Drosophila melanogaster: one gene and its partners. The protein of the gene in region 4 interacts with the protein of the main gene of each other region in a pairwise test. Each region holds a gene or a part of one and is shown on either strand. Other genes may lie near its edges. The genes, in order: Hecw, CG4896, Vlet and RpL3.

Evidence for each region.
Region 1: the proteins of RpL3 (region 4) and Hecw interact in a two-hybrid assay, tested with the Drosophila melanogaster proteins (one large-scale study listed by BioGRID).
Region 2: the proteins of RpL3 (region 4) and CG4896 interact in a two-hybrid assay, tested with the Drosophila melanogaster proteins (one large-scale study listed by BioGRID).
Region 3: the proteins of RpL3 (region 4) and Vlet interact in a two-hybrid assay, tested with the Drosophila melanogaster proteins (one large-scale study listed by BioGRID).

What each region holds. Positions count from the first base shown.
Region 1 is NC_004354.4:9,607,164-9,614,529, forward strand, and holds the start of Hecw (hecw ubiquitin protein ligase), read left to right. Parts: upstream 1-1,782; 5' UTR 1,783-2,134; coding exon 2,135-2,528; intron 2,529-2,587; coding exon 2,588-5,043; intron 5,044-5,118; coding exon 5,119-5,285; intron 5,286-7,366. Other genes in the region: LysRS (Lysyl-tRNA synthetase), read right to left, coding at 1-404, 466-1,129, 1,259-1,389.
Region 2 is NT_033779.5:1,174,811-1,184,559, reverse strand, and holds CG4896 (uncharacterized protein), read right to left. Parts: upstream 6,871-9,749; 5' UTR 6,699-6,870; exon of another isoform or gene 6,613-6,698; 5' UTR 6,611-6,612; coding exon 6,516-6,610; intron 6,453-6,515; coding exon 6,093-6,452; intron 5,720-6,092; coding exon 5,491-5,719; intron 5,434-5,490; coding exon 5,364-5,433; coding exon of another isoform or gene 5,329-5,363; exon of another isoform or gene 5,109-5,328; coding exon 5,035-5,108; exon of another isoform or gene 4,701-5,034; coding exon 4,623-4,700; intron 4,564-4,622; coding exon 4,437-4,563; exon of another isoform or gene 4,348-4,436; coding exon 4,111-4,347; intron 4,048-4,110; coding exon 3,634-4,047; intron 3,566-3,633; coding exon 2,767-3,565; intron 2,706-2,766; coding exon 2,456-2,705; intron 2,391-2,455; coding exon 2,274-2,390; 3' UTR 2,106-2,273; downstream 1-2,105. Other genes in the region: Tgt (tRNA-guanine transglycosylase), read right to left, coding at 1-237, 306-394; CG5126 (uncharacterized protein), read left to right, coding at 641-1,031, 1,089-2,065; CG4887 (uncharacterized protein), read right to left, coding at 7,188-7,304, 7,369-7,618, 7,679-8,459, 8,517-8,981, 9,037-9,273, 9,387-9,513, 9,573-9,650.
Region 3 is NC_004354.4:11,675,671-11,681,658, forward strand, and holds Vlet (valette), read right to left. Parts: upstream 2,882-5,988; 5' UTR 2,765-2,881; coding exon 2,733-2,764; exon of another isoform or gene 2,680-2,732; coding exon 1,995-2,679; 3' UTR 1,674-1,994; downstream 1-1,673. Other genes in the region: bif (bifocal), read left to right, coding at 5,183-5,444. UniProt on the Drosophila melanogaster protein: Scaffold protein in the commander complex that is essential for endosomal recycling of transmembrane cargos; the commander complex is composed of the CCC subcomplex and the retriever subcomplex.
Region 4 is NT_033777.3:11,218,541-11,226,430, forward strand, and holds RpL3 (ribosomal protein L3), read left to right. Parts: upstream 1-3,353; 5' UTR 3,354-3,389; coding exon 3,390-3,392; intron 3,393-3,634; coding exon 3,635-3,827; intron 3,828-3,864; exon of another isoform or gene 3,865-4,020; coding exon 4,021-4,189; coding exon of another isoform or gene 4,190-4,310; exon of another isoform or gene 4,311-4,503; intron 4,504-4,547; coding exon of another isoform or gene 4,548-4,599; exon of another isoform or gene 4,600-4,854; coding exon 4,855-4,990; intron 4,991-5,030; exon of another isoform or gene 5,031-5,250; intron 5,251-5,317; coding exon 5,318-5,707; intron 5,708-5,767; exon of another isoform or gene 5,768-5,860; intron 5,861-5,950; coding exon 5,951-6,310; 3' UTR 6,311-6,633; downstream 6,634-7,890. Other genes in the region: CG6689 (uncharacterized protein), read right to left, coding at 1-751, 812-1,185, 1,244-1,475; CG6693 (uncharacterized protein), read right to left, coding at 1,965-2,864; scpr-C (SCP-containing protein C), read left to right, coding at 6,996-7,109, 7,163-7,837.

The DNA of each region.
Region 1 (7,366 bases), on a different chromosome or scaffold from region 4:
TCTTGCTCAGGTCCCTCTGGACCCTCCGGATGATAGATGACCTTGTAGGAGCCACGGATCGCTTTCACCATTCCCGAGACCAACTGCTCGGTGATATCCATAATGTCAGCGTAGTCGGCATACGCCATGTAGAACTCGCACGTGGTGAATTCAGGATTGTGGGTGAGGTCGATGCCCTCGTTGCGGAACTGCCGTCCGATCTCGTACACACGATCGAGTCCACCCACCACCAGCATCTTGTGATACAGCTCCGGAGCAATGCGCATGAACAGATCCATCTTGAGGTCATTGTGATGCGTCACGAAGGGCTTGGCAGTGGCTCCACCGGCGATCATGTTCATCATGGGCGTCTCGATCTCCAGGAAACCCAGACGATCCAGGAACTGACGCACGTACGAGATGATCTGCGGGCAATGGGAGTAGTTTTTGTTATATTCAGCTTAAACTCCTTAGTTCAATTCATACCTTGGCACGGATCTGGAATTTCTCTCGCACATTGTTGTTGAGAATGAGATCAAGATAGCGCTGGCGGTAGCGCGTCTCCTTGTCCTTCAACCCGAAATGCAGATGGGGCAGCATGTGTAGACAGGGCGATAGCAGCTTGATCTCGCTGGGCATAACGGACAGTTCACCCTTCTTGGTTTTGCCGGGATGTCCGACAACGCCGATGATATCACCACGTCGCAATTTGGACGTATCGATTTCGAAATCCGCCTCCGACTTGTAGGACTTAGCGCTGGCCATCACCTGCACCTTGACGCCCTCGCCGCGCAGATCGTAGAAAATGAGCTTGGCGCCCGACTCGCGTATGGCATGCACGCGCCCAGCCACGCTCAGTTTGACATTCTCCAGGGTCTCGCCCTCCTTGAGGCTGTTCTCGTACTTGGCAATGAAGTCTTCCAGCGAGCTACTCACATGGAACTTGTGTGGATAGGGATCCGTTGCGGGTGAACGTTTCAGCTCCTGAACGGCGGCGGAGCGCAGCTTAAAGTATTCATTCGGCGAGATCTCCTCCTCCTCGGCGGCACTGCTCTTCTTCTTGCCAGCAGTATTTTCCGCCGGCGCAGCGGCCGCCTTCTCAGCCTTCTCCTTGGCCTTTTGCTCGGCCTTCAGGCGACGCTTTAGCTCACTGTGGACGAAGAGAAACAGTTAGGGTATTAGCAGACAATGGAGATGTTGCCACAAGGCTGTTATAACCACGCATGGATATATATATATATATATCCAGCCTGGCCAACGGTGCGTATTAGTAACCCACAGTTTGGTCTGCTTGCTTGGCTCCATTTGCGGAGCGCTCACGTGGAAACCGGCGGCAAGTGGCTGAATTCCGGTGTATCTGCATCGGGGCCATGACCCCTGCACGGTTCTAAGGGCGCAGCGGGCGAACATGGTTATTTTAAGCAGCGTATTTCATCAGCAGAACTGCACACATGCAACATAAATAATGCGAACTGGAACGTTGCCGCTTCGCCCTAACCTACAAGTGGGGCAGCTACGTTGACCGGATTTAATGCTTGCGGTCAAATGGATACGCTTTGAAGCCTATGGCACTTACTTCTTGGACAGTTCTCCACTTGCAGCGGCCATGCTGATGCGGTTACGTTGTTCGCTGTTTAATCCCGGGGTCTCAGAAGCGATGGAAACCCAAAAGAAATGCGAATGCGAAAGCGCCACAAAAGTAAAAAAAAAAAAGTACACGACCAGCGCTGCCAGATGGGCATAAATCGATGCAACTGGCTTTGCCGCACCAGATGGCCAGTCTGGCGCGAGGGCATTTTTACGCCATTGACATCTGGTCACATTGCACTAGACCCGAAATATATATTTTATTTAGCTTTTGCAATATCCTTAAATTAACAATTGATCAACTAAAGCCACGGCCTTGCGGGCAGTGAGCACAGCACAGCACGGCCCAGAACTGGACTCAATGGCTGGAGGACGCGAAATGCTCCGGTCGGAAGGCAGCAAACATCAGAACGCCAAAGTAGAGCAACTGCAGCTGTAACTGTAACTGTTAACCCTGGGTTGGTCGCGGGGGCGGGGTGGCAGTGGTGGTTGTGGACCAGGAAGAGGAAGAGCAAGGGTGCTGGGAAAGAGGAAGAGCACATCTTGAGGCCAGGAGGCAAACGAGCCAATGGAGCCACCAGCTGCACCGGTACCCCTACAGCCACTGGCAGCATCTTCCGCCTGCCTGGCGGACAGGAGTCCAGTGGATCCCATTGCAGTCAGACTGCAGCAGGAGGAGCAGGCAGAAGGAGATGACGAGGAGGAGGAGGAGGAAGAGGAGGACGATGATGATGATCCCAAAGAAGAGGAGGCCTTCTACGAGGCGCGCAACGGCAACGAAAGTGACGAGCTGGAACAGGCCTTCCAGAGTGCCCTTACCCTGACCAACGATGTCCATGTGAGTGTCAGCGAAGTGGAGGAACATGAACCGCCCTTGGCATCGAGAAATCAGGAGGTGGCAGAGGTGGAGGAGCAGCAGCAGCAGCTGGGGGCCTGCGCACTGCCGCAGCCCAGCGAAGCCTGTAAGTAACTTGAGACTGACGAGCGAGTTCATCCACTCATCCACTTGGTTCTCTTAAAGCTCTTACAGGCTCAAAGGAGACCAGGGAACCGCGCCACCACCAGACGCTGCTTTCCACCAAATCTTGCGAGACGCCGGCCAATAATGCCACGCTCTCGCCGACCAACTCCTACAATGGCAGCATTGGCAGCGACGGCGGCAGCAGTGTGGGCGGTGGCGCCCGCCGCAAGTCCTGGACCCTGTCGCCGCAAAGCGGTGGCTCCACGCCCCTGAGCGGAGCCAAGAAGAAGACCAAGACGGGTGCGCCAACCACAACACTGTCCAATGCTAATGGCGACGGTTTTAATCTGTGGGTGGCACGTGAGTGCTTCGAAACAGTGCCCGCTGAAATGGTGGATACTCTGAGCATGGCTGAAGTGGACGAGGAGGTGGATGAGGAGGAGGACGAGGAGGCGGCTGCCGTGGAGAGTCTTCTGGGAGCCGCTGCTGCCCTCCAGGCCAGTGCCCATGTGCAGCGCCGTCAGCAGCAGCAGCATCACCAGCATCTTCGCCAGCCCTCGCCACCACAGCATCGTCCGCTGGAACGATCTTGGCCGCCGCGTGCCGTTGGTCGGGATCTGAAGCTTCAGGGCGATGTCTTTCAGTTCGACATCCTGGACACGGACGAGCGACTGGCCGAGGAGATGGCACAGGGCAGTGGGAGTTCGAATAATTCACCCCTGGCCACGCCGCCTGTGCGCTTTAAGCCGCTGCTGAAGAAAAAGATTGGACCCGATAGCTACATCAACACAATTAGCACACAAAAGGTGCCGGTCCACCAGAGCTATGAGTTCCCCACCTTTCCAAGTTCCTCGGCAGTTGGATCGTCATCTTCGTCGCCGAATAGTCTGCAATTTCCGTATCTGCGCCAGCACCGTCCGCTCACCCGTGCCCTTTCCAATGGCAAGGCCAGTTCATCGGAGGAGCAAGCCTCCCCACGCCTTCTGCTCTCACCAAAACGTCCGCGAAGTCCTCCTTCCGGTTGTTCCACGCGCAGTGCCTCTCCATTGGATATCAGCCTGAGTCCAGAGCAGCACTCGCCCACCAGAGGCAGAGGAGTGGGTGGTGCTCTGCAGGATGCGGTGCCGCCCGGAACTCCAACATTCCATGGTCAGCGACCGCAGCAGCGGCTGCTCAAACGTGTAGGCGGTGGAGCAGGAGCTGGTGCTACGGGAGGCGCAACCGGCTCGCCATTGGTATGTCCACCAACGCCTACTCACCATGCCCGTCGGCATGCCCGCCTCCAAGCCGTCACTGCCAATTCCAGCCTCGCCAGCGGAGGAGCGATCCCCTCGGATCCGCCAGCCGTCTCTAGTCAATTGGATTACATATATCTGCAAGATGGTGGCCAGGAGCAGGGTCAGGAGCAGTCAGACGAAGTTGTGCACATAAGCAGCACCCGCCTGCCCTCCATTCCAGAACGCAGTGCAGCCGCAGCAGCGGCGGCGGCGGCAGCAGCAGCTGGAGCCGCTCTCATGGAACCCGGAACGGGTACGGTATCCGGGTCTAGTGGAGCTGGAGCCGCTGGAGAGCCACCATTGCCGCCTGCTTGGGAGGCGCGTATGGACAGCCACGGACGCATCTTCTACATCGATCACACAACGCGAACAACCTCATGGCAACGACCAGGAGCGGCGCCAAGTGGAGGACCAGCAGGCAGAGAGCAACATCATCGCCAGCAGCTGGATAGGCGGTATCAAAGCATCCGACGCACCATTACCAATGAGAGTAGAGCTGCGCAGCTTTACAACCTGCCAACCTCGGCGAATAGTAATGCCAATTCCACAGCTCCAGCTGCTCCTCCGCCCGCCACGGCTATACATCCAGCCATCCTGATGCTCTGCCGCCCGGATTTCTACTCCCTACTGCACACCAACGAAGCTGCACTGGCCATCTACAATCGCAATGCCGCACTAAAGCACATGGTCATGCGCATCCGACGCGATCCGCCGTGCTTCCAGCGGTATCAGTACAACAAGGATCTGGTGGCGCTGGTTAACACATTCGCCCAGATGAGCAGGGAACTGCCCTCGTGCTGGGAGACCAAGCTGGATCAATCGGGCAAGCAGTTCTTTATTGATCACCAGCATCGTCGCACCTCATTCATGGATCCTCGTCTGCCGGTGGAGTGTCCTCGTGTGGTACGCCATCGCCAGCAGCATTCGCAGCAACAGTCCAGTGTGGGCTACTACTATCCGGATCTGGTGGATGGCAACTGCCTGTCCGCCACCAGTGGGCATATTAACGCCAGTCCAGCATCATCGGTCTCCGGTGTACCGCCCTTACCTCCACCGAGACCCTCATCGTCGTCCTCCTCGTCCAGAAGTAGCCATGGACATGGCCACAACTGCAACACAACGTCAGCCATCTCCTGTGCCCTCAACGCCGACCGTTCGGCGTATGGTGCCGCTGGAATGGCCAGCGCTGGAGCCACTGCAGCCGGGTACGAAGATGTGCCCATCGCCTACAACGAAAAGGTGCGTTTCGCGTTTCGCTCGTTTAACAAATGTAAAATCTTGAACTTTCCATTGATTACACATATTTCTTTTCAGGTCATTGCCTTCCTGCGCCAGCCGAACATCCTGGAGATCCTGCGAGAGCGCCAGGGCCAGCACACAATGTCCCGCCAGTTGCGTGAGAAAATCAATATACTGCGAGTGGAGGGTGTTCCCGCACTCGAAAGATTGGGCCATGACCTACAACTGACCATTTTGCTGAGGTGAGTGATCTGATTGCAATAGAAACTACTAGATCACTTAACATGACTATGGATCGTAGCGGAGATTATAGATAGATTGATATCGTCTATATCCAATTCTTGTTCTTTTGCTAAGTCGAATTATACTCGAATTATTCCGCCAGCCAGACAGTTGGAGGTAAACCCTCGGAACTGGCGTGGTGCTAATGAACCCACTGCCATATAGTCCCGCTCACATGACGCACCGTTGGCCGTCAGGCAATGGCTCCACCTGCACTTGACGAAGGTCCCACACCAGGCTAGGCCGTATCCATCTGGCCTGAAATTGCATTGCTGCGTCATTTTCTTGGCTCGAATCAGTTTTCGGTTTTGATTTGTAGCTGCTGGCTGATTCGGTTAGCTTCAATCGATTTTGGCGGCGGTCCTGGTTGAGTGCACCGCATATGAGTGCTGCTAGTGGGTTTAATTGTTTTTGAAAACCGTATCGAAGGTCGCTGGCTAATTTTCCAAAACGCCAAACGCGCGTCCAACAATGCAAGCGGACTAAGCCAACTACCAACGGCAAGGCAAGGCTAGCACTTTGCCATCGTCTTGGCTTTTAATCCCATTGCTTATTGTCTAATTGACCGTGTTTATGCGAGAAATAACACAACGAAATCAATGTACATTTACCACAAAAATTGAGGAACTGCAGCACGTCAATTCGCAATGTAAGTTGCGCTGACCTTAATCTTAATCCCAATCTCGGCGGCAACAAAATGGAAATCGATGTTGAGAGATTAAGTCGCCGCCCCTCATTCTCCCAAACTGTCGATTACTACTCCACCGTTGCTGGCTGGCCACCAACCATTCTGATTCCCATTCCGATTGAGCCATTTAATTGCATTTCAATTAGCCAAATTGTCGCGCTTCATTGGCAAACGAGTGGTGGGAGTTTTTACTATGCAATCGTATTTATTCGAGTGCGAATACTTTGTACATCTGGTTGTTAAAGTTGTGGTAATCATAATAAATTTGGAAGAATCCTGCGAAAATTTGACGCAAGATTCCATTTAATATCTTTAAATATTGCTGAAAATCAAGACGCTTCCTAAAAATTTATAATTTGATTGTATATATTTTCCCCTAAATGAAATCCACTTAAAAACAAGCAAGTTCAATAGAACTTTAGGCAATGATATGCACTACATACAAGAAAAAATCAAGTAATAAGTAATTTGATTAATTGCCGTTTTGTTAATTAGTTCAGCACCTTTTTTTTTAAACGAAACGAATGAGTTAATTTGTAAGTTCATTTAAAGCATATTGCATTGCGCATAGTGACACCTAACGATCTGGTTAGCGAAAGTATTTACACAATCTTTTGCAAGCGATCGCAAAAGTCGGGTAGCCGTCGCACATGTCGCACTTGGTGTATTGGAAATACGGAGCGCACAACTCCGCTACCGAGATCAGAATCCGCAGCCTCAGACAATCTGCACTTGGCCATTAGTCATCCGAGTGGCGATGAGGCAACACCTCGCCCACCCAGCGCCATCCCCCTTTTTTTTTTTTTTTCATAGTTTGAGCAATTAATATGCCCAACAACAACAAGAGTCAACAAATACACGCGTTTAGTTATCTACACATTTCGCCAGTTGGCTAAATGCCTAAATGCTTTTGCCGGTGAATTATAAATAGCTGAGTGGCTCTTAAAATATATACATATGTATGTATGTGCATATATATATGTATGGGTTATATATGTATATTTATTGAGCGATCTTGGGGCATTCCGACTTTGCAGCAGCCACGCCTCCTTTTCGGTGGCAGAGCAACGCCCTTCAGCTTTAGCAGCAGCTGCCCCATAAATTCCGCAGACGCCCCACTAATCCGCTAATGCCCCTCGCCCGGTTCACAATTTAACCCAATTCCAAATCAAGCATAATTTATAGCAACTCCAATTCGAATTTTGAGTCCCGTCCGATTCTAAGTTTTTTCTTTTTGCTTAGTTCTTATTTTTTTTTTTCCGGCGGAGGTGTGGCTGTGCCGTCATCTTCATCAGCAAGTTGTGCTACCTCATAATCATAATCATTATCATTATCATCGGCACCCTCGCAAAG
Region 2 (9,749 bases), on a different chromosome or scaffold from region 4:
AGCAGGGAAACCATCTGAAAGCCACCGGAATCTGTTAGAATGGCCCTGGGCCAGCCCATAAACTTGTGCAGACCACCGGCTTTCTTCAGTGTCTCGATTCCGGGCCTCAGGCCCAGGTGATAGGTGTTCCCCAGCAGAATCTGGCAGTTCAGCTCGATGAGCTGGTCCGGCACGATGCCCTTCAAGGTTCCCTGAGTGCCCACGGGCATAAAGACCGGGGTGTTTACCTCGCTGTGCCTGTTTAGGAGAGTTGGTAATGCGGCTTAGTCACAGTTTTCAAGGCCTATCTTATTGCAGACGCTCACCTTAGGGTCATCAGTCCCGCCCGGGCTTTGGAGACGGAGCACTCGGCCACGACCTTGTAGGTCAGCGGAGGAATGTGGCTGGGACCCATTGAGTTAGCAAAGTCCAGAAAATTCCCCGTGAAATGTCTTATGTTTACGCGCAATACGCCGGCGGTGCACGTTTCAATCGCGATTCTGTGTGACCACTTCGCTGAAACCGGGAATATACCAAAATCCTGCGCGTGGCTATCGATACCACTTTGATTGGTTGCCCGGACAAATATACACCTACTTGCGTATATTGTCAGTTAAGATTACCCATTCAGATAGCAATTGATTCCTGCGTGGAGGTCACGATGTCGACGCAACAGCAGCAGTTAGACTATATAGAGCGCCACCTGGTGTACGACATCTTCAAGAACTTTGGTCCGAGTGCTTCGCTGGAATCGCACAGCGTTGAGTGCTCCAATGGACTGGACGGCTTCATGTCCGCCTTGTACACCGTTACGCTGGACGTGGTCATCGCCGAGCGCAAGCGGACGGAGGTCGTCCTGGTCAAATTCATGAAGGGAACGGAAGAGTTCCGGGAGAGCAGCAACTCGTACATCCAGTTTTCCAACGAGATCTTCGCCTACGCCGAGATCCTGCCCGCCTATGAGAATGTGCTTCGGACGAGTCACCTGGAAAGCGAAGTGGTAAAGAACTGGGTTCCCTGTTGCTACTTCGCCAGGTTTGGCCACGTTGAAGGTGCGCATCCCACAAAGACTTTATCCATGACTACATCGAATGTTTACTTTTCTGCAGGTTTAGGGAATGGTAGGGAATCGGTGCTGGCCCTAAAGCATCTCAAGGGCGATGGCTACCAATTGGGGCCAAGGCTAACCCTTCGACGGGATCAGCTGGAGGCCATGGTAGGACTAGTGGGTCCGTTCCATGCTCTGGGCTACGCCACGAAAATCCTCCAGCCGAACGTTCATGCTCGTTTGCGCGCCGGAGTGGTGGACATGCCCTTCGTGTCCAGCTCAGGAAAGGGCATCTTTGATGTCCTCTATCGCGTGGCTTTCGATCGGTTCTACGAGTTCTACGACCGGCAAAAGGAGCAGCTCCTCCAGGGGGCAGACCCCGGATTCGGGGCCGCCATCGAGCGACTGCGGGAGAAGTACTTCAAGCAGCCAACTCTCCTGCTGGAGAGAATCCGCACCAGCTCCTTTGCCGAAGATCAACCGGACAGCCACTTTGCCACCTTTCTGCACGGCGACTACAACAGGAACAACGTGCTGTTCCACTACGGCGCTGAAGATAAGGTGGACGCTATCAAAGCCATCGATTTCCAGGAGCTGCGCTTCAGCACTACGGCCATTGACCTGAGCTTCTTTATGTACATGAACACGCCATCCGAAGGAAGGAAGGAGATCTACGCCGACTTGTTGCGCAAGTACCATCGAAGCATGATCGAAATGTTGGAACTGGTTCTGCGCCGAAACCGGAACGAGTTGACCGACGATCGGGTGGACCAGTTGCTACAGGAATACAGCTTCGAACGCTTCAATGCCCACTTCAAACGATATGCCTTCTACGGACCAATGGTATGCATGCACTTCCTTCCCTGGCTGCTCGGCACCGAGAAGGATTGCGCCGAGTTGTCCCGCCTCTTCGAGACGGATATGCACGGCCCCGCCTTCCACCAGTTGTCCTTGGACATCGCTGGCGATGAGGCGAACCAGGAGATCTTCAAGACCGTTCGTCACGCCTATGAGCATGGCTACATGGACGAGATTTAGATTCCCTTGCACAATTCCATACTTAAAGCATTTACAATTTAAATTTAAACCTAATTTGAGACTGTATTTACGAACTATTTACAATTTGAACTTCGCAACTAATGCTAAATGAACGCGACAAGGTGGAGGAAGTGTAATCGAGGTAAACAACAATGCTTAAATGCCCCTATATTCAAGCGGAATAAAATCATACACTTTAAGAAGAGTCTCAGGCGTTCTCATAACGCTGCTTCATCATCTTTTTGATGTAGGATTTGTAGTCGTTCCCAGGCGCCATATGGCCAGTGTTGTTGCCCAGCCCCACGTTGTTAGAACGACCATCAGCCTGTGGATACACATTGACATTGAATTATCCATATTTTGCCATTCGTCGCCCTCGTCGACTCCTACCTCTATGATCTCGGTGCGTCCCTGGTTCTTTTTGCCCAGTCCCTGGCCCTCCGACCAGCCCATCTTCTGCATCAGGCGGCTGCCCACGTTGGTCGAACTGATGGGCATGGCTGCAGTGGCGCCAAAAGAATCCTTCTGGCGCGACTGCAAAGTCTTTATCTCTTGCTCGAAACGCTCCCGGCTCCTATTTGGTGGAGGAGGATCGCTCTCACCGTACTTCAGCCTGCGTTCCTTGGCACGATCACGATAGCTAAGTACGGGTAAGTAAATTAGTGAGTTTATCTCCATTCTAGCAGCATATTCCCACTTACGATAGACCCTCATCCGTGCCAGCCTCAACTGCGGGATTCCGTTTAAGCTTGTCCAGATTCTCCTTGTGTAGATTCGACATTTTCAAATGCTTCTGCAAGATGTCCAGCGATTGGAAGGCACGCATGCAGAGCAGGCAAGTAAGTTTTTGGAAGTCCACGTAGTCAGATTCATCGCTAATGGCTCGTTTAGTCCCAACGCTAGCTTCAAGTGCTTTCTGATTGGCACTATTATCATCTTCCGAGTCAGAAGGTCCTCCATAAGCACCAACCAATTTGCTTATCGCTGGAGGTCCTGCCTCCGGTACATAGTCGTTGAGCTTGCCAAGCTCCTTCTTCTCAAGGATTGAGAATCCCACATCAGCATATGCCCCTTGGGAAGCACGGGAGGTGGTGGCCGCCTCAGTATCCGACAGGATAGGCTGCGGCGTTGCCACTGCTGTGTAGTCCTTTTTTTGGTTTAGCTGCTTGGCCCACTTCTCCATGTCCTTGACGATCTTCTTGGCCACCTTCACCTTGTCGGGCTTCCCCCCAGCTTCCTCCTTTTCTTTTTCCTTCTCCTTTGCCTTTTTGGCCTCCTCCTCCTTTTTCTCGGCATCGGCTAATACTTCCTTGAGGGCTGCCTGAGTGGAAGCGGGTGTGGCCAGCACATAGGTGCTCCGCTTCTGATCCCAGTACAAATACGCGCCCGTCTCGTTGTTGTAGTAGTACTGCGAGTGGGCATCATAGTAGAGTCCTGTAACGTGGTCGTAGTAGTAGCCGGAGGTCTCGTCGTACTGGTACTTGGACACATCGGGAGTATCTAACCATTGAGCATGAAATATTCGACATTACAGGAGCGCATAGATAGAATAGTGTGCGCTCACTTACCGTATTTCTTGCCATCATTCCCCTTGGGAGCACTTTCACCCCTGGCAAGGAAGGCGACCTTCGCCTCTGTCACCGAAACCGTGGTCTCCATCTGGCTGACCTTCCGTTGCTTGCGCTGGATGGCCGAGAGAGCAACGGCAGCGCCGGAGTTGGCCTCCGTCACTTGACGATCTCTGCAGTTCTTGCTTATTTCAGTCGTGTAATAATCCGTATAGTACTGGACGTAGTTAGCATGCTCCAACGGATTCGAGGCATACACGGATGCACTGTACTCCGCAAGACGAGGCACATCCGCCAAAGTGTAGGCCGCCGTAATGGCCGACGGAGACATCGCTGTTTCACCTGCTCTAAAAAAGTTGCCTTCGGCTGGCATCATTTGACGGTTTTCGGAGTCAATGCAGTAGGTGACGATAACTGAAGGGCATGGATTAAAGTTTTGTTTTTTAATTATGAAATAATTAAGAAGTAATAATTTACCTGTTTTGTCGTCCAGAGTGAGTGGCGGATCCAACGCCGTCAGCCCGTTGAACACGTTCATAGAATCAATGAGTGTGTCAAAATTGAGGTAGCAAATGCCCCGAGATGCATTGGTTAGGGCGTCGCGACTGACCAGCACCTTGCTGACTGTTTTGGCCAGTTCGGGCAGGCGCTGCTGAAGGGCAGTTAGCACGCCCTCCTCGTTTGTCAGCGCGTCCAAGCCGCGAAGCATGATCTCTGCATGGGGAAAGCGTGGCAGGTTAGTGGGGTATTTAGCTGATTAGCTAGGAAACGGCATTGAAAGATATTGCTCATGGTGGATATACTTTTTGTGAGGATTTGGCTGATCTCGTCGACGCCCTCGCCGGCTCCGTAAAGAGCATTCTCGCTCTCCGCCCGCGACGCATTGCACATGTAGCATTGGAAGCGGCGCTTAAAGTTGCTGGCACCACACTGAAGGATGGCGAAAAAAGCTAATTATTGTTGCCAATCTGTATCTTAACGGAGCATACCTTAATGCAAGTCCAGTCTGAGATGCGAGTGTGACTATACTGCATGGTGACACGATGATCGCCCAGTTGGAGGACTCCCTGAACGGAAAAATAGAAGAGGTAAAATTGGAATTAGTAACTGAAACTGCTGATCAGGCAAATCGTTCACAGACTACACAGTCACCAAGATTGCATCTGTGTTTTTCGACATCACGCAGATGCTGGTTGCTTCCTTTACGTAAGATTCGATTCCGCCTTTGAGTTCAGTTCCCTGATCTAAGACAGAAAAATGGAAGGGACAGGCAGCCCACCAGCAGAATTGAACTCAAGGCACACATTTTTCAACAGTTGATGCCAAGCTATCGGATCTTGCCGTCATTTCTATTTTGGCGGATACGAGAAGATTCAAGATTCTTGTGGTTTTTAGGGATACCTGGGTTAACTCCATCCAACGAGTCGCCTCCTCAACGGTTTTAAACTCGACAAATGCAAAACAGCGTGAGGCACCTAAATTTTAGATAGAAGTAGATACGAAAATGTTTGGTCAAAAAATGTTGGTTGTATCATTAGCATTGTGTCATTTTTGGGGATTGTGTTTTTGTTTCGGTTTGTAGTTTTCTATATGTTTTTGCTGATGTCGAAGCCAAGTATAATTGAAATTGCTATAAGTCCTACATCGAACATGTTGCTGGGCACGCAATACTCACGCTTTCTCTACAATTTCACTTTAAATCGAATGTAACACACGGAAATGTAACCCACCTGTTTGTTGCTTCCTCATCACGCGAATGGATGTGGGCTCCAGGTCGACCTTGATCAGCTCGCCCATGATCTGTGGAGGATTACTTGGTTAATTTTACATTCGTTCTGCTTATCGCTTAAACATTACGTCTGCTTCCGTGACGTGCTTCTTCAGACCGAAGAGGATTATGTTGTTCAAGGGCTCAACGCTGCTGCCACTGTTGTAGGCACCTCTCTGCCTGAATTCGCTGGCCATGTCGCTGTCCTCGTCCGAGGAACACCGTCTATCTCGATCGCGCTCCTTCTCGCGATCTCTGTAACTGCTGCTGGAGTTACTATTTCCATTATTATTGAACTGCCGCTGGTCATTGCTGCGGCTGAAAGGAAAGCGATTCTTTAAGGTCATACAATGAGCACTTTGTCGAATAAATTTTCGTTCGGTTCGTTTGAAACCATCGTTTGCATACTATCCACTGTAATTAAAGGCATCCAGCATGAATATTTCATAAGATGATTTGTATGCATTTATGCGAACAAAGGGAAGTGTACATTACTGAATGGGTTGATTTCTAATTATTTTGACTTTTATTACAAGTGATTAGCAAATGAAAGGTCTTTTAAACTAGTGAAAGAGGAGTCCTCCTTCTTATGGAAGCCTTGTGAATGGAAACATAGAACTTAGCTTAATCTTAATCTCAGTGATAACACTGAGCACGATATGGGTAATATGCAATATGTATCATTTCTTACCTGCTGCGCTCCGATCCCCGATCGAAGTCATCATGGTTGCGCTCTCTCGAAACGCGATCGTAGTTTTTCCAGCGGTGATCGCGGTCCTTATCCATATCCTGGCCACTCTTGTCGTAGTTGCTATCGTGATCCCTGCGACCCTGGCTATCAGCATGCCGACGATCGTATTTGTCCTCGCCGTGGCGCTGGTCAAGGTTCTGTCTCGAGTTGTAGTTTCCCTGATCCTCGTAATCCTCGTTGATCAGGTCGCGGTACAGATCGCGATCCGGACTGCGGTCGTTTCTATAGTGTGAGGACCGCTCCCGACTGCGCGAACGGGAGTTGCGACGTCTGTACTCATTGCGGTCCCGACTTCGTTCCCTGAAATAATCGCAATTGGTAGTAATCCACTAAGAGGCTCCAGGTGGACAAAGGACTACCTACCTGGATCGGGATCGGGAGCGACTGTAGCGTCTGTAGCCCGATTCGCTGCCGTTTCCGTTGCCGCCCGAGAAGCTGTGACCATATCGAGAATCCATATCTAATGCGAATCGATTGTAATTAAATGCAGTGTTTGTGATTTGGCCTTTTGCCATTAGATGAACCGTCTATGTGCGCACATCTTACTTGGTTACCACGACTGTAACAGGATTGGAAGCTGGTTAAACTTGTTCCCGAACTGGAAGTCTCTTTGCATTCAGGCAGAAACAATCAGTTATCCGGCCAAAAAAAAAAACCCGAATAGAAAAATTCTCGGTCTTCTTTTTTGCCGTTCACCCGAAGTATCTGACTGCCAGTTATCGATAACTGACCGATAGCTCCAGGGCTACCAAGTGCCAGCTAACAGTTGTTTCCCAACACCAAGCAAATTTAAACTTTACACCGTTACATTTTATTTTGTACATTCGAAAAAGGATTTAAATTCGCTTAATCAGAAACTATTAACTAAACGGTCACACTTGCTCGTGGACTTAAAAAAACGCCAATCTGTTAGGAAAACAATGCTCAAGAAGCTTCATATATAATATGGAAATAATTTTTGCTTCGGTTGAAAAGCTGAATTAAACGGCGACTTTAGTTGAAATGAAACATGTGAAACGGCTAAAAACCAATTTCTCAAGCATTCTCGTAGCGCTGCTTCATCATCTTCTTTATATAGGATTTGTAGTCGTTGCCCGGTATCATCTGTCCCGATTTGTTGCCCAAGCCCACGTAATTGGAGCGTCCGTCCGCCTGAGGGAACCCAAAATGCTTAATTTTCTTAATTCATTTTATAGCTTGCCGTCAGCTCAGTTACCTCTATGATCTGGGTGCGTCCCTGGTTCTTCCTGCCCAGTCCCTGTCCCTCCGACCAACCCATCTTTTGGAGCAGTCGACTGCCCACGTTGCTCGAACTGATGGGCATGGCTGGAGTAGCGCTAGTAGACTGCTTTTGCCGCGACTGCAGTGTCTTGATCTCCTGCTCGAATCGCTCCCTGCTCCTATTTGGTGGGGGAGGATCGCTCTCGCCGTACTTCAGCCTGCGCTCCTTGGCACGATCACGATAGCTGGGAAAGAATATGAATTCAATGATAATATACTCCACCACACATCGCGATTTCACTTACGCTAGTGCCTCTTCGATGCTACTGCTAGTGTTTTGATTGAGCTTGGCCAGGTTCTCCTTGTGCAGAGTGGACATCTTCAAGTGCTTCTGGAGTATTTCCAACGATTGGAAGGCACGCTTGCAGAGCAGGCATGTCAGTTTATGGAAGTCCACGTAATCGGACTCTTCAGCACCTCCTCCGCCGCTTACAACCGCTGAACTCTGTGTGTTTTGCGAACTCGCAGCATTGTCCTCTTCAGAGTCCGATGTTCCGCCATAGGCATTGACAAGCTTGTTCATTGGACCCACAGTCGGGTTTGGCGCATAGTCGTTTAACTTGCCCCTCTCCTTCTTCTCGAGAATGGAGAATCCCACATCAGCATATCCCCCTTGATTGCCACGCGAAGTGGTGGCTACCTCGTTCGCCAATATTGGTTGTGGCGTGGCCACAGCTGTGTAGTCCTTTTTCTGGTTTAGCTGCTTGGCCCACTTCTCCATGTCCTTGACGATCTTCTTCGCCACCTTAACCTTGTCGTGCTTGTTTCCACCCTCCTTCTCCTTCGCCTTTTTGGACTCCTCCTCCCCCTTTTGCTCGGCGTCGGCCAGGACTTCCTGCAGAGCTGCCTGAGTGGAGGCGGGCGTGGCCAGCACATAGGTGCTCCTGCGCTGATCCCAGTAAAGATACGCGCCCGTCTCGTTGTTATAGTAGTACTGCGAGTGGGCATTGTAGTAGAGACCCGTGGTACTGTCGTAATAGTAGCCGGATGTCTCATCATACTGGTACTGCGTCACATCGGGAGTGGCTGCAACATAATGAAACATAATAAAATGCTAGCATACTCAAGTGAGTGGCGACATACGGTATATCTTTCCATCGTTGCCCTTGGGCGCACTGGCCACCTGAGCAGCCAATGTGGCCTTCACTTGCGCCGCTGCCTGTGCGGCAGCTGTGGCCGCCGCTGTGATCGTGGTCTCGATACTGCTCATCTTCTTCTGCTTGCGCTGGATGGCCGAGAGGGCAACCGCTGCTCCGGAATTGGCTTCCGTCAAATGGGAATCCCTGTTATTTTTGTTTATATCTGCCGTGTAGTACTCCGTATAGTACTGGACATAATAAGCGTGCTCTGCGGGATTCGAAGCGTACAGGGAGGCACTATATTCAGCGAGTCGTGGCACATCGGCCAGAGTATAGTTTCCACCCAATCCTGAGGGCGAAACTGCTGAAATGTTCCCGCTATTGACAGTTGAATCTTTAACTGCCAATTCTTTAGGGTTCTTGGGCAATGCTTGCTGCTCCTCCAAGTCGATGCAATAGGTAATGGCCACTGGATGAAATATTGGTTATTATTTAAGTTATAAAAAGCACCTAAGGCCACATACCAACTCTGTCGTCCAAGGTAAGTGGAGGATCCAGCGCTGTCAAGGCATTGTGCACATTCATCGAGTCGACAAGAGTGTCGAAGTGAAGGTAACAAATTCCACGCGATGCCTGCGTCAAGGAATCCCGACTAATTAGCACCTTGCTCACGGTCTTGCTCAGATCCTTTAGGTGAAGTTGGAGGGCAGTGAGCACAGCCTCTTCGTTGGTCAGGGCGTCCAGGTTGCGTAGCATGATCTCTGCGTGGATTGGGGAAGTGGTAGAGAAATCGTGGCGGTCAGTGGTCTGTTGGACTTCATTGCGATCGAAGCTACAAAACGAGATGGCAAGAGAGTCTATGTGGTTTGTATACTTTTGGTGAGGATGGTGCTGACTTCGTCCACGCCCTCGCTACCGGAGGAGAAGGTGGTTTCGCTGTCTTCCCGGGATGTTTTGCACACAAAGCAATAGAATCTAAACTTGAAGTTGCAGACGCCACACTGGAACAAGCGAAACACATTACTCGCCATTAAGAATATGATCATCTCAGTGCACCTACCTTGTTGCAGTTCCAGTCCTGAATTCGCTTGTGGCTGTACCGCATGCTCACCCGCTCGTCGTTTAACTTCAGAACGCCCTGGTGCGCCAGACATGGAAATAGGAGAAGGAAAGGTTGCGGATTAGTAACCGATCGCTAGGATGCCTTCATTCACACTCTACACAGTCACCGGATTGC
Region 3 (5,988 bases), on a different chromosome or scaffold from region 4:
CATCAATTTATACATTTTATATATATATAAAGATATATATATCTAAGATAACGAGGAATCGGCGTACAATGTAACCGCAATTGCCGCTTCAAACCGACGGCAATACTAAATACTGGAATACTGATTGTATTTTTACGCTAGCCACAATTTGATATAAACTATATATCTTCCAATTTTTTTGTACACCTAATGTTAGTTGAAATATGTGAGCGAGACGAGCAAATTTTTGTAGCAAACTAAAAGCGCTAAATGTTTACTTTTTTATATTATTATATATATAAATACTTGATAAACATATACCTAATATTAGATCTAAACTAAACTAACTATAAATCGCACACACTCATACACTCACACAAAAACACAATGCAATAATTGAGTTACATAGTTTTAAACAAATGTTAAAACATTTTGCTGCAACCGTCGGAGATGTAGTGTACAATTTTTAGTTTCTCGTATTATTTTTTTTTTTATGTCTGTTTTGTGTTTAAATTTTTTGTAACTTTTTACAAAGCGTAAACTGTGTATGTATGTGCTACATTGATTTTTGTTTAATTATATCAAGTTTTTATTTAAAAAATCGAACACCACCTTGCATTCTCCTCATTTGAACGTGGCGCTCACACTTATTACTTATATAGGTCAAATACAGCGGGCTCTGGTGATCAATCCAATCAGCAGAAAGTAATGAAAAACACCGAAGTTAATGTTTAAACATAAACACACAATGAGAAAAGAGTCGTGTTTCCATATTCACTTGATTTAATCGGCATGCGATGTTACTCACAGCGAAAGGAAATTCAGCAAGCTTGAATCGATAAAATTGTTGTATATATTAAATAGTTTAACACTGTGTAATTTTATTTATCCTAGCTCGATTCTAAGTGCTTGCGTAAATGATCATTTAAATTTTCTAACCCGAAAGAACTTATTTATTGGTTTATTTATACAAAATTGAAATGAAGTGCATATGGAAACACAACTCAAAAACAGACAGCACAAATAGAACAACAGGAACAAATGACCAACGCATTTCGAAAGGCGATAATCATTTACACGAAAAACCAATATAATTAAACAGAATCCCACGCAAACTGAAGACTAACTAACAACCAAGTTAAGGGCTAGTTAATGGAGCCGGTGCCAAAGCAAAAAAGGAAAAATGATAACAACACCTACACACACGACAACTAAATGTAACAATAGCAATACATTTTAATGAAAATTGTAGTCCAAATAATTTGCATACATTTGTATTTTGTCCAAACTTAGTTGAAATGATTAACCGAACTGTGAAAGAGTGCAATAGAAATCGTTTTGCTTCTAGATTAGTGAAAAATACAACGAAGCCCCTAATTTGAATACGAAGCAACCCAAAATCCCCGCCCTCCCGTAATAACAATAAATACATATGCATAATTATGCAAAAGTTTGAGAAGATGAAACTAGAAAGTCTGTATAATGCATACATAATATACGACTCCATTATACACACACACACGCATACTAAGGCCGATGAATAACATATGCATATACAATATAGACATATATTAAATATATATCATTGTAATAATTTGTAATGTTTATCAGTAGAATTATGATCCGAGGTGGAGCAGACGAGTAAAACGCATGCAGAGATCCATTAAAGTGTACTGTAAAATGTGCCACACATTGTTTTATCTAAATTTATTAAAGGATTTATTATTTTGCAGAGGGTAAGTTCTAAAACTTAAAAACTAGTCCTGTTTGGAAGATCCTAATCATTGCAACGTTTTATAAATCAAAGCCGAACTCTTACTCTAGTAAAAATTTGGCTACGTTCGGAAAATTAGCCAGAACATAGGAAAAACCCTACTGAATTAAACAAAAAAAAACGTGTTTAACATTTGGCTACGATCGTGTTAGTATTGCATACTTTTAGGTCCATCTTTTTGCACAGAGTTTTGTGTGAATCAACAATAAAATTGGCACTGGAATTGGTCGATGGCGTCCCACTACTGATTGCCAGGCGCCGTTGCTCCTGTAGTCTTCATGGCCAGCATGGCGTCCAGTTCGCCCTGGATGCTCTCGAACTGATTGTACAGTTCCATTAGTTCCGGTTGTGTCATTTCGATGTTGATATCCTCGCCGACGGCCGTTTTCATTTGGAGCACGGCCAGCGGGGTCTTCTCCCGCTGCTGGCAATGCGAGGAGATCTCCATGTTGAGCTTCCAGGCCACATCTTCGATGACATTTGATTCGTACCGCTTGCTGGCCAAATTGTTCATAATGGGCGTCGTTTCGCGCACCCACAAACGCAATATGGCATCGATCTTGGCCTCATCCTCCAGCTGGAGTTTCTCGCGCAGCTCACGCTGCAGCAAACTTGGCTTGATGATAAACGTGGAGATGCGACGCAGGATGTAGGAGAAGGTCTTGATCAGCAGCAGGAAGTCCTGACGCGGTACGCCCACCAATCGCTCCAGTTCCTCGAGTGTGTACTCCGGTTCGGTGTTACTTGTGGGGTTCTCCTCGGTGCTGCTGTCCACCCGGCCGGTGGTCGTCACACTGGTGCCCACTGTACTACTGGTGGCACTCGCCGATGCTACGCTGGGACTCATCTGCCGGTGGGTGTAGAACAGAACCGTCGTAAAGGTCTCGTAGGGCAAGGCATTGATGATTTTGATGCCCTCACGGGCTCTAAGATATAAATGCAAGAAATTAATCTCTATAAGAACATTGATATTACATACCTTTCCGTGATCTTTATCCAGTTAATGCTCATTGTGAGATATATTTAAAAATTTTTAAGGAACATAGAGTTATTAAGTCTTTACCAGCACTTCTTTTATTATGACTTTAATATTATTTGTTTATACAGACCAACAATATACAAAAAACTATCGACTTGCCACGGTGCGGTGCTGCCACACAGTTACTACTGCCAATAATAACGGTAAGTGCTGACTAAAATACAAAAATATTACATTTTGCGATGTGATTTTAAACATATTCTTTATTAATTTTTTAGATTTAAATGTTTTATTAAATTAATTTATTTTTCTGTATTTAGGCCTGAATAATTTACCTTATAAAATTACAATGTTTTAAATAATATTTGCTGTTATGTTTCCTGCAAAATAAAATTCGTGAAAAAAAGCCGCACCAGCAAATATCAATACCAGATTGTCGACGGCACCGACGATCGACGATTCAATTTGTAGAAGATTATCAAGTACGAATAGTTTTCCAACTCATTAATATAATCGTCCTACCTGGCAACTCCGCTGATGCCTATCGATGCTCCGCTCGATAGCGCCAACAATCGATAAGCAGTATTTGTGTATTGGAAACGCGGCTTAACTTAATGCAGATTTTTCCGCTGATTCGGCTGCGAAAGATGCACTTTTAAGGCGCAGCGAGTGCACCCACGCCCCGAGTTCGAGTGCAGTTGCAGTCGGGAAAGCTTGACAAGTGCGCGGAGCAAGGAGAGCGACGAGTTCGTTGAGCTACAGCGAAACGGAAAAGTGTAAAAGCGGGGTAAACAGGCGCAGCGGAGCGGATGATAAACGGAACTCGGGATCGGAAAATTGGAAGCAAAACCAACCACCGATTATAAAAAATAGTCAGCATCTTAAAAGTAAGGATTTCAAGCTAAGGTTTCAGCGAAAGCCCGAGAAAAACAAAAACCCCAACTAAACTAACGGAACAGTGCGTCGGGATATATGCATGTGTATGTGGTATACGTATGTGTGTCTTTGGCTGCGTGCGATTGTATTGTTCCTGTGTAAATAAACAAAACCCGGCTCTTTAGTCTTCCACTAGTTCGTTTCGCGTTTCTCTGCGAGGAATTTTTGTTGAAAAAACTCAATTTGGCATAGCATAACTTCCAGTTTATTTCCCTATTCTGCAAACTGTGTGTATCAGTGTGCTGGTGCTTCCAGCATGCCGTAAAAATCGATAGCGCGTCGTCGGTTGTTTATTTTATGCTTCGTCTGCATTTTGCAGCCCCTTTTTATCGCTCTCCCCTTTTCAGCCACCCTTGCACACACTCACACTCTCTCCGGCGGAGTCGTGTGATGCATACACACACACACACACAGACACATGCATACGCCTGATACGGGAAATTAAAAATAATACTTTTTATCGCGGCATGCAAAAGGCAAAGCTGCAAAAACAGAAACAATTCCAATTCCAACAGCAATAATCTAGCCATGCAATCAATTTTAGCCAAACAATAAAAAGAATCGTTTGGTTTCAGTTTCCCCGCTTTTCTTTTCCGTTATTTTCCTCTCTATATTCGGTTTTATCGCATTTTCCGCTCATTATGGCAGTTTAGCATATTTATGCTGGAAAAATATTGGGGTTTCTTCGCTTCTTACCTTTGTTTTACGTTTTGTTTTGCTGTCGGGCTGTAAAAACAGCAGTTAATCCAATTAAGAAAAATAAAACTCTAAATGCCATCGCCACCACGAATTCGAAATCACCTTTTATCTACTCAAAAGATATTCATCTTATTTATTTTCCAAGATAAATGTTAAATTATAAATATATTATAGAACCATACACTTGTTGAAATAGAATTTCTGCTAACAGCTGCGAGTTTTACAGTCATAACTATTATTATTATTTATTAACTTAGATTTCTACAGGCTGCGATTTTATAAAAATGATTCAATTTTTTATCTAGACTTTGTTATTAAAATTTCTACATAAGCAGAAAATAATTGCTGCAATGACAAATATTTCATTTTCAGCTTGTGTTTATCGTAGCTTATTTTTTGTTAAATGTATATTAAAGTATTTACTCCCCTTCTCATGTAATATACATATATTGAAAAAACAGTACTTTTGTCTATTAGAATATATTTATACCCTCACTTATTGGTTCATCTCGAAAACTGGTCGAGTAAACTGAGAATCTTGAGATAGTTTCTTGAATTGGATATAATTTGCATGGTTGGCCAATCTTTTGGGTCGGCTATGCCCGCCTCTTTGCTTCGTAGAGGAGCTTGGGCACCGGGCACTTGCAATTGGCACCAGCTTCGGGCCAGTCAGTCCGCCAGACTTGGTCTTTGGGTCGAGATGTAGAGCTGGATAGTGTGCCACACTATATAGGGGATACTACTGCGATACAGACACCGCGGACACGGCTGACATGCATTAATGCTGCGAATAATGCCTATTGCAGACGGGGATAATGGAGTCACAGAAGCGGCCTTCGTTGGACTTACACACGGATGTGCCAGCAGGATTAGCAGCTGGAGGATCTGGCCTGGGAGCTGCAGCTGAGATGTCGCCCACTTCCGGTTTCCTGCCGGACATGCCGCAGTGGAAGAAGGACCTCATCCAGCGCCGGAAAACGAACGTGGCCCGCACCCAGGCGGCGTCCATCACCTCGCCCACCGATGGCAGTTGTGGGGCTTTGGCAGAAGCCAACGCAGCTCCAGGTGCAATTGCAGGTGAGTGGTGGTTGGACAAACTGGAATACTTTCACCTGACACGCAAATTAAAGGTATTTTCAAGCCAAGCATTTCTGTCAAGGCATGTTAGGTGCAAGTATTCGTATTTCTAATCGCTATTTCTTGCATTCTTGACAAACGAAATAATTGCACTTACTTTTGAGCTCCATACTTATCCCTTTTAAATGATACCGTTCGGTACTTAAAATAAATTCAACGAACTATAGACTTCGGAAAGGTTTTTAAAATATTTAAAAACTGCCGTAGCAAATAGTAATCAGGGTGAAATATATTGACTGGAAAAATGCGAAAGACTAATTGTGACTTACACAATCTGCAATTGCTCAGTTGGCGTTAACCAGCCATGAGTAATGGTAACAAGTGTTTTTAATTCATTTTGCCAACTTTTACGATTTCCAATACCAGTATACTTTTAAATTAGCCGCCTTACATATTCGCTTATCGATACGATATTCGCTTATCGATAGCTCACAGAGTTGTCAGATTGCGGACGAATAAGATAAAAAAAACCAAGTTATGTTTT
Region 4 (7,890 bases):
AGGCGAATGTTTCGCTGCAGAAGCCGCAGGCGAAGGGAGTTTCTCCCCGATGACGGATGCGTATGTGCATGTTGCGCATGTAGGCGTCGTAGAATGTCTTTGGACATTCGGTGCACTGGTAGTTCTTGGTGCGAGTGTGCCGCAGCATGTGGATGCGCAAATTGTGTGACATGCGGAACGCCTGGCCGCACTGATCGCACACAAAGTTCGGCGGCTTGGCGCGTAGCTGGGCGCGCCGTATAAGATTCCTCTCTTCTTTGGTCTTTGGGTTGGCACTGCGCTTCGGTTTCTGTTCACCAGCTGCCTTTTCCTTAGCTTTGGGCTTACTCGCGATTGGTGCTCCCTTCCTGAGTCTTGCTTTTTCCTTCCCTGTATATTGATCTAATAGCTCCTTAAAGATCTTGGCCCCCAGAGCCACACTGAGTGGATCCTGGGCGGCGGGCGATTCAGCGACTTCGTCGACTGCCTCTTGACTTGTTTGGTCATCTGATGTCGCTTCATCTTCAACATGATCTCCACCTGCATCTTCAATCTCTTCCACATTAGTGTTCTCCGTATCAGATATCAAATCGTGATCCGATGATATTGGATTCTCATTCTCAGCCTCGATCTGCACTTCATCAGTTGAGGGCTTGGCTTGGCTGAGCTTGAGCTCGGTGCTGATGCACATCTCCCGGAAATCGATGGCCTGATCCAGGGCCGATTTACACGCAGGGCACATGAGGCGCGGCTCGTCTGGTTTGTGACTGATCTAAAAGATTTTTGACGCAATACATGTTATTTTGCTCTATAAAATGTACGAATAACCAACCCAGACACCACTTATGACTTCGATGTGAAAGAGCAGGACACTGTTGGCCGGGTCAAAGAGATCCTTGGCCCTGAAGTCAGCGGTGAAGTCATTGTAGCATGTGCGGCACTTTTGCAGCTCTTCCAACTTTTCCTCGCCCGAAAGTGGATCCAATTCCATGGTTACAGTTTCCGATAAATACACACTATCCTGCTCAAATGAAGTAGCCTCCGGGTGGATTAGCTTGGCCTCCTCCTCCGCCAATAGCTCAGCCACTAGCTCCTGGTTTCTGCGGCGCTGTGACCTCTCCTTACGGGCTCTATCCGATCCACTTTCCTGGCTTTTGTTCACGCAGGGAACTGCACCTGGTCGCAAAGTGCGCTTTTTTGCCAATCCTGAGCGAAAGACAAGGACTCAGTTGGACATTTTTAGCGGCTCACACATGGAACTCACCCATTTCGAATTTCAGGGATCCCTCGATGTCCTCATCCTTGAAATGTTCGATGCAAATGCAGGGATTCTTCAATTTCAAGGACTCCTCCGTGTAGCCGCAGAATGCTAGCCAAGCCTTAAACGTATCCGGGCACTTGGGGAAGCGGAAGAAGCCCAAGCGTTGCTGCTGAGCCGCATTCCTTTTGGAGCGGCAGTCAGAGAAATTTCGGCAATTGGGCACGGCACATCGCATATTTTTAGAATAAAGTGCGCAATGTTTATATTAAATAATCCGGCAGTGTGACCAAATGTTGCGCTGCCACGATGCCAACAATTCGAGGTGGTTACATCGATGACGTCACAAAATGCAACAGTTATTTGAAATTGCAAAATTCAGAAAACTACGTTTATTTGATGTTCTTACAAAAACTCTGCTTTATTTAACCCACAAACACACACACACACACTGTATTTCATTAGTAATTGAAAAAAATGTAATTTTTTTATATCAGAATAGCAGCATTTCGCAGTGATAACGTTGTATTCTTTTATTTGATTTGATTTTCTTGCGAACCAAGGAAAACTTTTGGGTAATAATGGTAGCGCATTTCTATGTCCACTTAGTATTAATCTAGCGAAAAATACAAGTATACGTACATGGATAAATACATATGAGTAACTAAGCCTAAACTACACGATAAATATATATTAAGGAGCGCACGATGAGCAGTGGAGGACGGCACTAGTTTTTGCCCTTCTCCACACGGCCCGCCTTGACTCCATTGAGCTTCGGTTTGGTCTCCTGCTTGGCGGCGGGCTTCTTGGACTTCTTTTTCTTCTTCTCGAAGGCGCTGAAGTCAACAGTGTCGGAGTCGTCCTCGTTGCCGTACTTCTCCATCAGGCGGTCCATTAGGGAGCCAAAGTTTGACTCGCGCTGATTGCGACGTGCCAGGATCATTTGCTGCAAATCGCCACCGTTGTCGGCTAAATCCTGGTCGTCCTTCTCCTTCTGGCGGCGCTTCAAACGCTCCTTGATCACCTTGGCCTCCTTGAATTCGCGCGCGTACTTCTGGTGGCGCTTCTTGCGCTTGGCTGCCGGCTCCTCGGTAAAGATCTTGTACTCGGGCACCTCGCCGCTGGCAATCATATCCTGAACGATCTTCTGAATGCGCGGCTCGTCCTCCACCTTCATGAAGGGCACATGGTTCATCAGATAGTTGATGCAACCCTTGCCGCCCAGATACGCCTTTTTCAGATCGGTGCGCTCCAGCTCCGATTCCACATACTCCTTTTCATAGTTGTTGATATCCTCCTCGGTGATGGGCTTGAAGATTTTGCTCCACAACTCCAGCCACGACGACAGCTTGGACTCGCTCTCATCGTCGTCGTCGATCACGCCCTGCTCGTCGTACAGCGCCCGCTTCTGCGTGTCGGTAAGCACCTGGTAGAGCTTCGATAGCACCTTGAACTTCTCGGTGGACTCCGCCTTCTGCTCCTCCGGCACTCGATCGGGATGAACGAGCAGCGAGAGCTTGTGGTATGCCTTCTTCACCTCCTTCTCGCCGGCGCCCCGGGCCAGCTCCATTAGCTTGTACACATCGCGCGTCCCAAAATACTTTTCGCACAGCTCCAGCGTCGACATTGCTAATTTCGTATTTTGTATTTTTATTTTTCGCACCAACACTACCAAACGCAAAATGCGCCAAAACGCCGCGCCAGTGTGGCGGTGCGTGGGGCAGACAAAAATTCCTTTGTTTAATGGTGCGAAAAAATCTTTGATTTTCCTGTTTACAGCAATTTGGTTATTATTTAACAAGTAAAATGGTATTCTATGAATTTTGTTTTAACTATTGATAATTTTTGAGAGCCTGCGTGATAAGTAACAAAAATAAATTGGAGAATTGAACATTTCAGTGCTGCACAACATTGCATGGTTGGTGTCCCAACTAAAAAGTAACCCGTGTTAAGAACGTATGAGGGTGGCATCCCTCAAAATCCATGGCGAGCAGTGTTACCGTACTGCGAAAAGTGACCTTAAACCCATCTCAAAAAATATACCAAACGTGTATTTCTCAGCAAAGTTACCACTGGGCACACTACACACTATATAACGAGACGGAAGTCGGAATCGTTTCTTTTCCGTTTTACACGTCTGAAGAGAACAGACATGGTGAGCATCTCGATCGGATAAAATAAATTATATTACTATGTGATGTGTCAAAAAGATGGATGATTGCAAGTTAAATAATTGATTAGTTTGGAAACAGTAGCGTTATAATCACTCTAAATGTAACTAATACAAACAAAGCGTAATTTTAATGCATAATTTGCACTTGCAACATCCACGTGTTCACCTAACCTCAAAGTGCAGAAACGCATTGTGCTAATGGATTTTCTCCATTCATTTTGCAGTCTCATCGTAAGTTCTCGGCACCCCGCCATGGCTCCATGGCCTTCTACCCCAAGAAGCGCTCAGCTCGCCATCGCGGTAAGGTTAAGGCCTTCCCCAAGGATGACGCCAGCAAGCCAGTCCATCTGACCTGCTTCATCGGCTACAAGGCCGGCATGACCCACATTGTGCGCGAGGCCGATCGTCCTGGCTCCAGTAAGTACCAGCATCCACCTCTATCAACTAACAACTACTTTCCATGATGAGTATACTAGAAGATTTATGGTTAGAACACATATGATTAACCGTGATTATCTCAACTAGGGCGGACTGACCAAGCCCACTCTGTAGATGATTTCTCTTAGGGAATACCATTACTCGGTATTAATGGCTTTTCTTTCTCTTGCAGAGATCAACAAGAAGGAGGTGGTCGAGGCCGTCACCGTTCTGGAGACCCCGCCCATGATTGTGGTCGGTGCTGTCGGCTACATCGAGACTCCCTTCGGTCTGCGTGCCCTGGTCAACGTTTGGGCCCAGCATCTCTCCGAGGAGTGCCGTCGTCGCTTCTACAAGAACTGGTATGTATCCGAGGACCACGTGGTCGTTCTTCCTACTCCATTTGTCGCCATTTTCTTTGCACCGGGTGTACACACACACAAAATGGCAGCCGACACGTGCTTTCTACTCGAGTCTGGATGATGAAACGATGGTATCTGAATGAGCAAATTATTGTTGAGAAGCCTTTTACCATCTGCTGCCTTCCTTCTGATCGGCCTCTTAGAAAATAAGCGATTGATTTTGCTGCAATACAATATCTATTGTTTTTTGAAGTATAAATCAACCAGTGCGCTGTTTTGTGTGTGTGCGAACTTCCGATCAACAGTGATTCCCTCGTGTAATATAGACCCCTATTAAATGTAAAACAAAATCATAAAGTTCTTCGATCAGCTTGCTGAGAGAGCTTTTCAAATCGCTAAACGTTGTGTGAGCTGTCAGGTTAATCTTGATCATGGGGCGCACAAGCAAGCCCCTGGTTAATTGAAATTGCCTGACGAGTGAGCATGACAAGGAAGACTGCATCTCCGCTCGCCATTCGTTTGCGATGAGGCGCACTTCCTGTTCTATCTCGCCCCACATAAACAGCGCGGCTAAGAAGTTGGAGTTGTTGCGACACCCCAATGGATTGCTACATTACGCTCGTTTCTGACCACTGCGTCTCCAACTTGACCATCGTCCATATCAGGTACAAGAGCAAGAAGAAGGCATTCACCAAGGCCAGCAAGAAGTGGACCGATGATCTCGGCAAGAAGAGCATCGAGAATGACTTCCGCAAGATGCTGCGCTACTGCAAGGTGATCCGTGTGATTGCCCACTCGCAGGTAAATATCAATTTCAATTATGTATTCCATATTTCCCGACGTCCTTGGCCTTGTTGCGCCACTGGTGCTGGGTCCTCGGGCTCGGTGCCTTTGGTGCGCCTGGCCTAAAAAGCATTCGCGCTGTGGTTTTCAATGCACGGTTTAGGGATGCAACGTCGCAGAGCAATCTGCCCCTCGGGTGGCGGGACTTGATATATTCCAGTAACGGTGCGGAGCCGTTCAGGCGATGATAGCGCGGTTAAACCATATCACGTACAGTCCCAATTTCCAATACCACAAGGTGGATGAAACTAACCTGTTGTGTACTTTTTCTCTATTTGCCTGTAGATCCGCTTGATCAAGCAGCGCCAAAAGAAGGCCCATGTCATGGAGATCCAGCTGAACGGCGGCTCCATCGAGGACAAGGTCAAGTGGGCTCGCGAGCATTTGGAGAAGCCCATCCAGGTCAGCAACGTCTTCGGCCAGGACGAGATGATCGACTGCGTTGGTGTGACCAAGGGTAAGGGTTTCAAGGGTGTCACCTCGCGTTGGCACACCAAGAAGCTGCCCCGCAAGACGCACAAGGGTCTGCGCAAGGTGGCCTGTATTGGTGCCTGGCATCCGTCGCGTGTGTCCACCACCGTGGCCCGTGCCGGTCAGAAGGGTTACCACCACCGTACCGAGATCAACAAGAAGATCTACCGCATCGGCGCTGGCATCCACACCAAGGACGGCAAGGTAAGCACCAGTACCCATTATTCCCACCATTCCACTTTAATCGGGCTGTAGAAGAAATCTGTTTTTGTGATGATAAAACCTTAAAAATAATATCGACATCGAAACAAAAAAAACTTGATGAACCATGATATTTATAATGATAGGACTGATAACAGATCTTCAGCTACATAAGATTAAATCCTGAATCCCCCTGCCGCAAGACCACAGTAATCTGATCCAGAATGTATCGCTTTGCTTTTGCAGGTCATCAAGAACAACGCCTCCACCGAGTACGATCTGACCGACAAGAGCATCACGCCCATGGGTGGCTTCCCCCACTACGGTGAGGTCAACAACGACTTCGTCATGATCAAGGGCTGCTGCATCGGCTCCAAGAAGCGCATCATCACCCTGCGCAAGTCCCTGCTGAAGCACACCAAGCGCTCTGCCCTGGAGCAGATCAAGCTCAAGTTCATCGACACCTCGTCCAAGATGGGTCACGGTCGCTTCCAGACCCCTGCCGACAAGCTGGCCTTCATGGGACCGCTCAAGAAGGATCGTCTCAAGGAGGAGGCTGCCGCTACCACCGCTGCTGCTGCCGCCGCCACCACCACCAGTGCTTAAACAAAATGTCGTGTCCGCGTTCAATTGTCTGCTCGCTTCTACCACCAACTGCTGCGGTAGGGCAGCGATCAATAAACAGATTTTGGCTAAGCTGACTCATTAATCTTTTCAATTGCATCTAATGGGAAAAGACCACGTCACAGATTTTACAATCGATTAATGTTGATTAGGAGGTGGAATCATTAGTTTATTTCTCATGATAGTTTAATATATGTACATACCCAGGCTAAATTGTTATTTATTATACCTCCTTAGAGCTAAAAGTAAAATAATATTAGGACACTAGTAAATAGTTTATCTACAATAAAAGAGTACCACCAAACTTAAACACTCGTAGAACATTTATAGCAAAAGAGATTAGAAATCGCCAATTGAGTTCGATGTGATTTGCTAGAATAATTGGGTGTCCTCCGGATCAGCAGGTTAGCATCGTAGTTCCTACGGAGAGCATTGCTACAATGCCACTGACTCTTGGCAACTGATTGTCCGTAGTCTATAGTTCTGCTTTTATATGACACTCGAGTATGGGTAAACTACTCCATCGTGACCAGACATTCATGGGAATGCAGCTGTAACAATACTTGGCTACAATTCCTCTCCGGTTACTTGGTAAAAACCCCCCACAGCTATCCTATAAATAGGGTACTTTGGGTAGCTAAGCCTCAGTCCAAAACCAACGCTGAAGATGGCCATTAAGTCTCTGATTTTGCTTACTTCCCTGCTGGGAATAAGCCTTGCAGCGGACTATTGTGCTCTGCCCACGTGCCTGGACAAGCACATAGCCTGCAACAACAAGGGAGTAAGTAGTGATAGCTGGCCAAAACCTGTTGGTGCTCACCCATTCTCGCCCAGAATTTCAGTGAAAATTGTCCCAAGGACGTGCGTGAGGTGAAGATCGAGCCGCACCACAAACTCATCCTCAATCTCTTCAACGAGTTGCGCAACAACGTGGCTGGAGGCAAAATAGAAGGACTACCCAAGGCTGTTCGCATGGCCAAGATGTCCTGGTGCGAGGAGCTCTCCCATCTGGCCTTGCTGAACGTAAAGACCTGTGAGTCCCTGCCAGATAAATGTCGCAGCACCGAGAGATTCGCCTACGCCGGCCAGAACAACGCCGTGTTCCAGTACAGCGGAGCCGAGACGGAGTACACCGATGCGGAAATAATAAAGGAGCAGATCGAGAACTGGTTTGCTGAGCGCTCGAATGCATCTCCCGAGATCCTCGCCAGCTTCCCGGAGGAGCTTCCCAACAAGGCGGTGACCAAGTTCACCATCGCGGTGGCCGAGAAGAACACCCATGTGGGATGTGCCGCGGTGCGCTTCTCCCGGGACTTTTACAACCACTTCGTACTCACCTGCAACTTCGCCACATCGAACATTGTGGGTCAGCCTGTCTACACTCCGGGAGAGAAGGCAACCACCGGGTGCAAGAACCGTTATGGAGCTGCCTACGACTACCCCAACCTGTGCTACGCCAAGGAGATCTACGACAACGAGAAGGTCATCGAGAACACACAGACGATGTAGGCATGGAATGGACTTCGATTGATGGGACAATGGAATTTGATTAATATGTAACA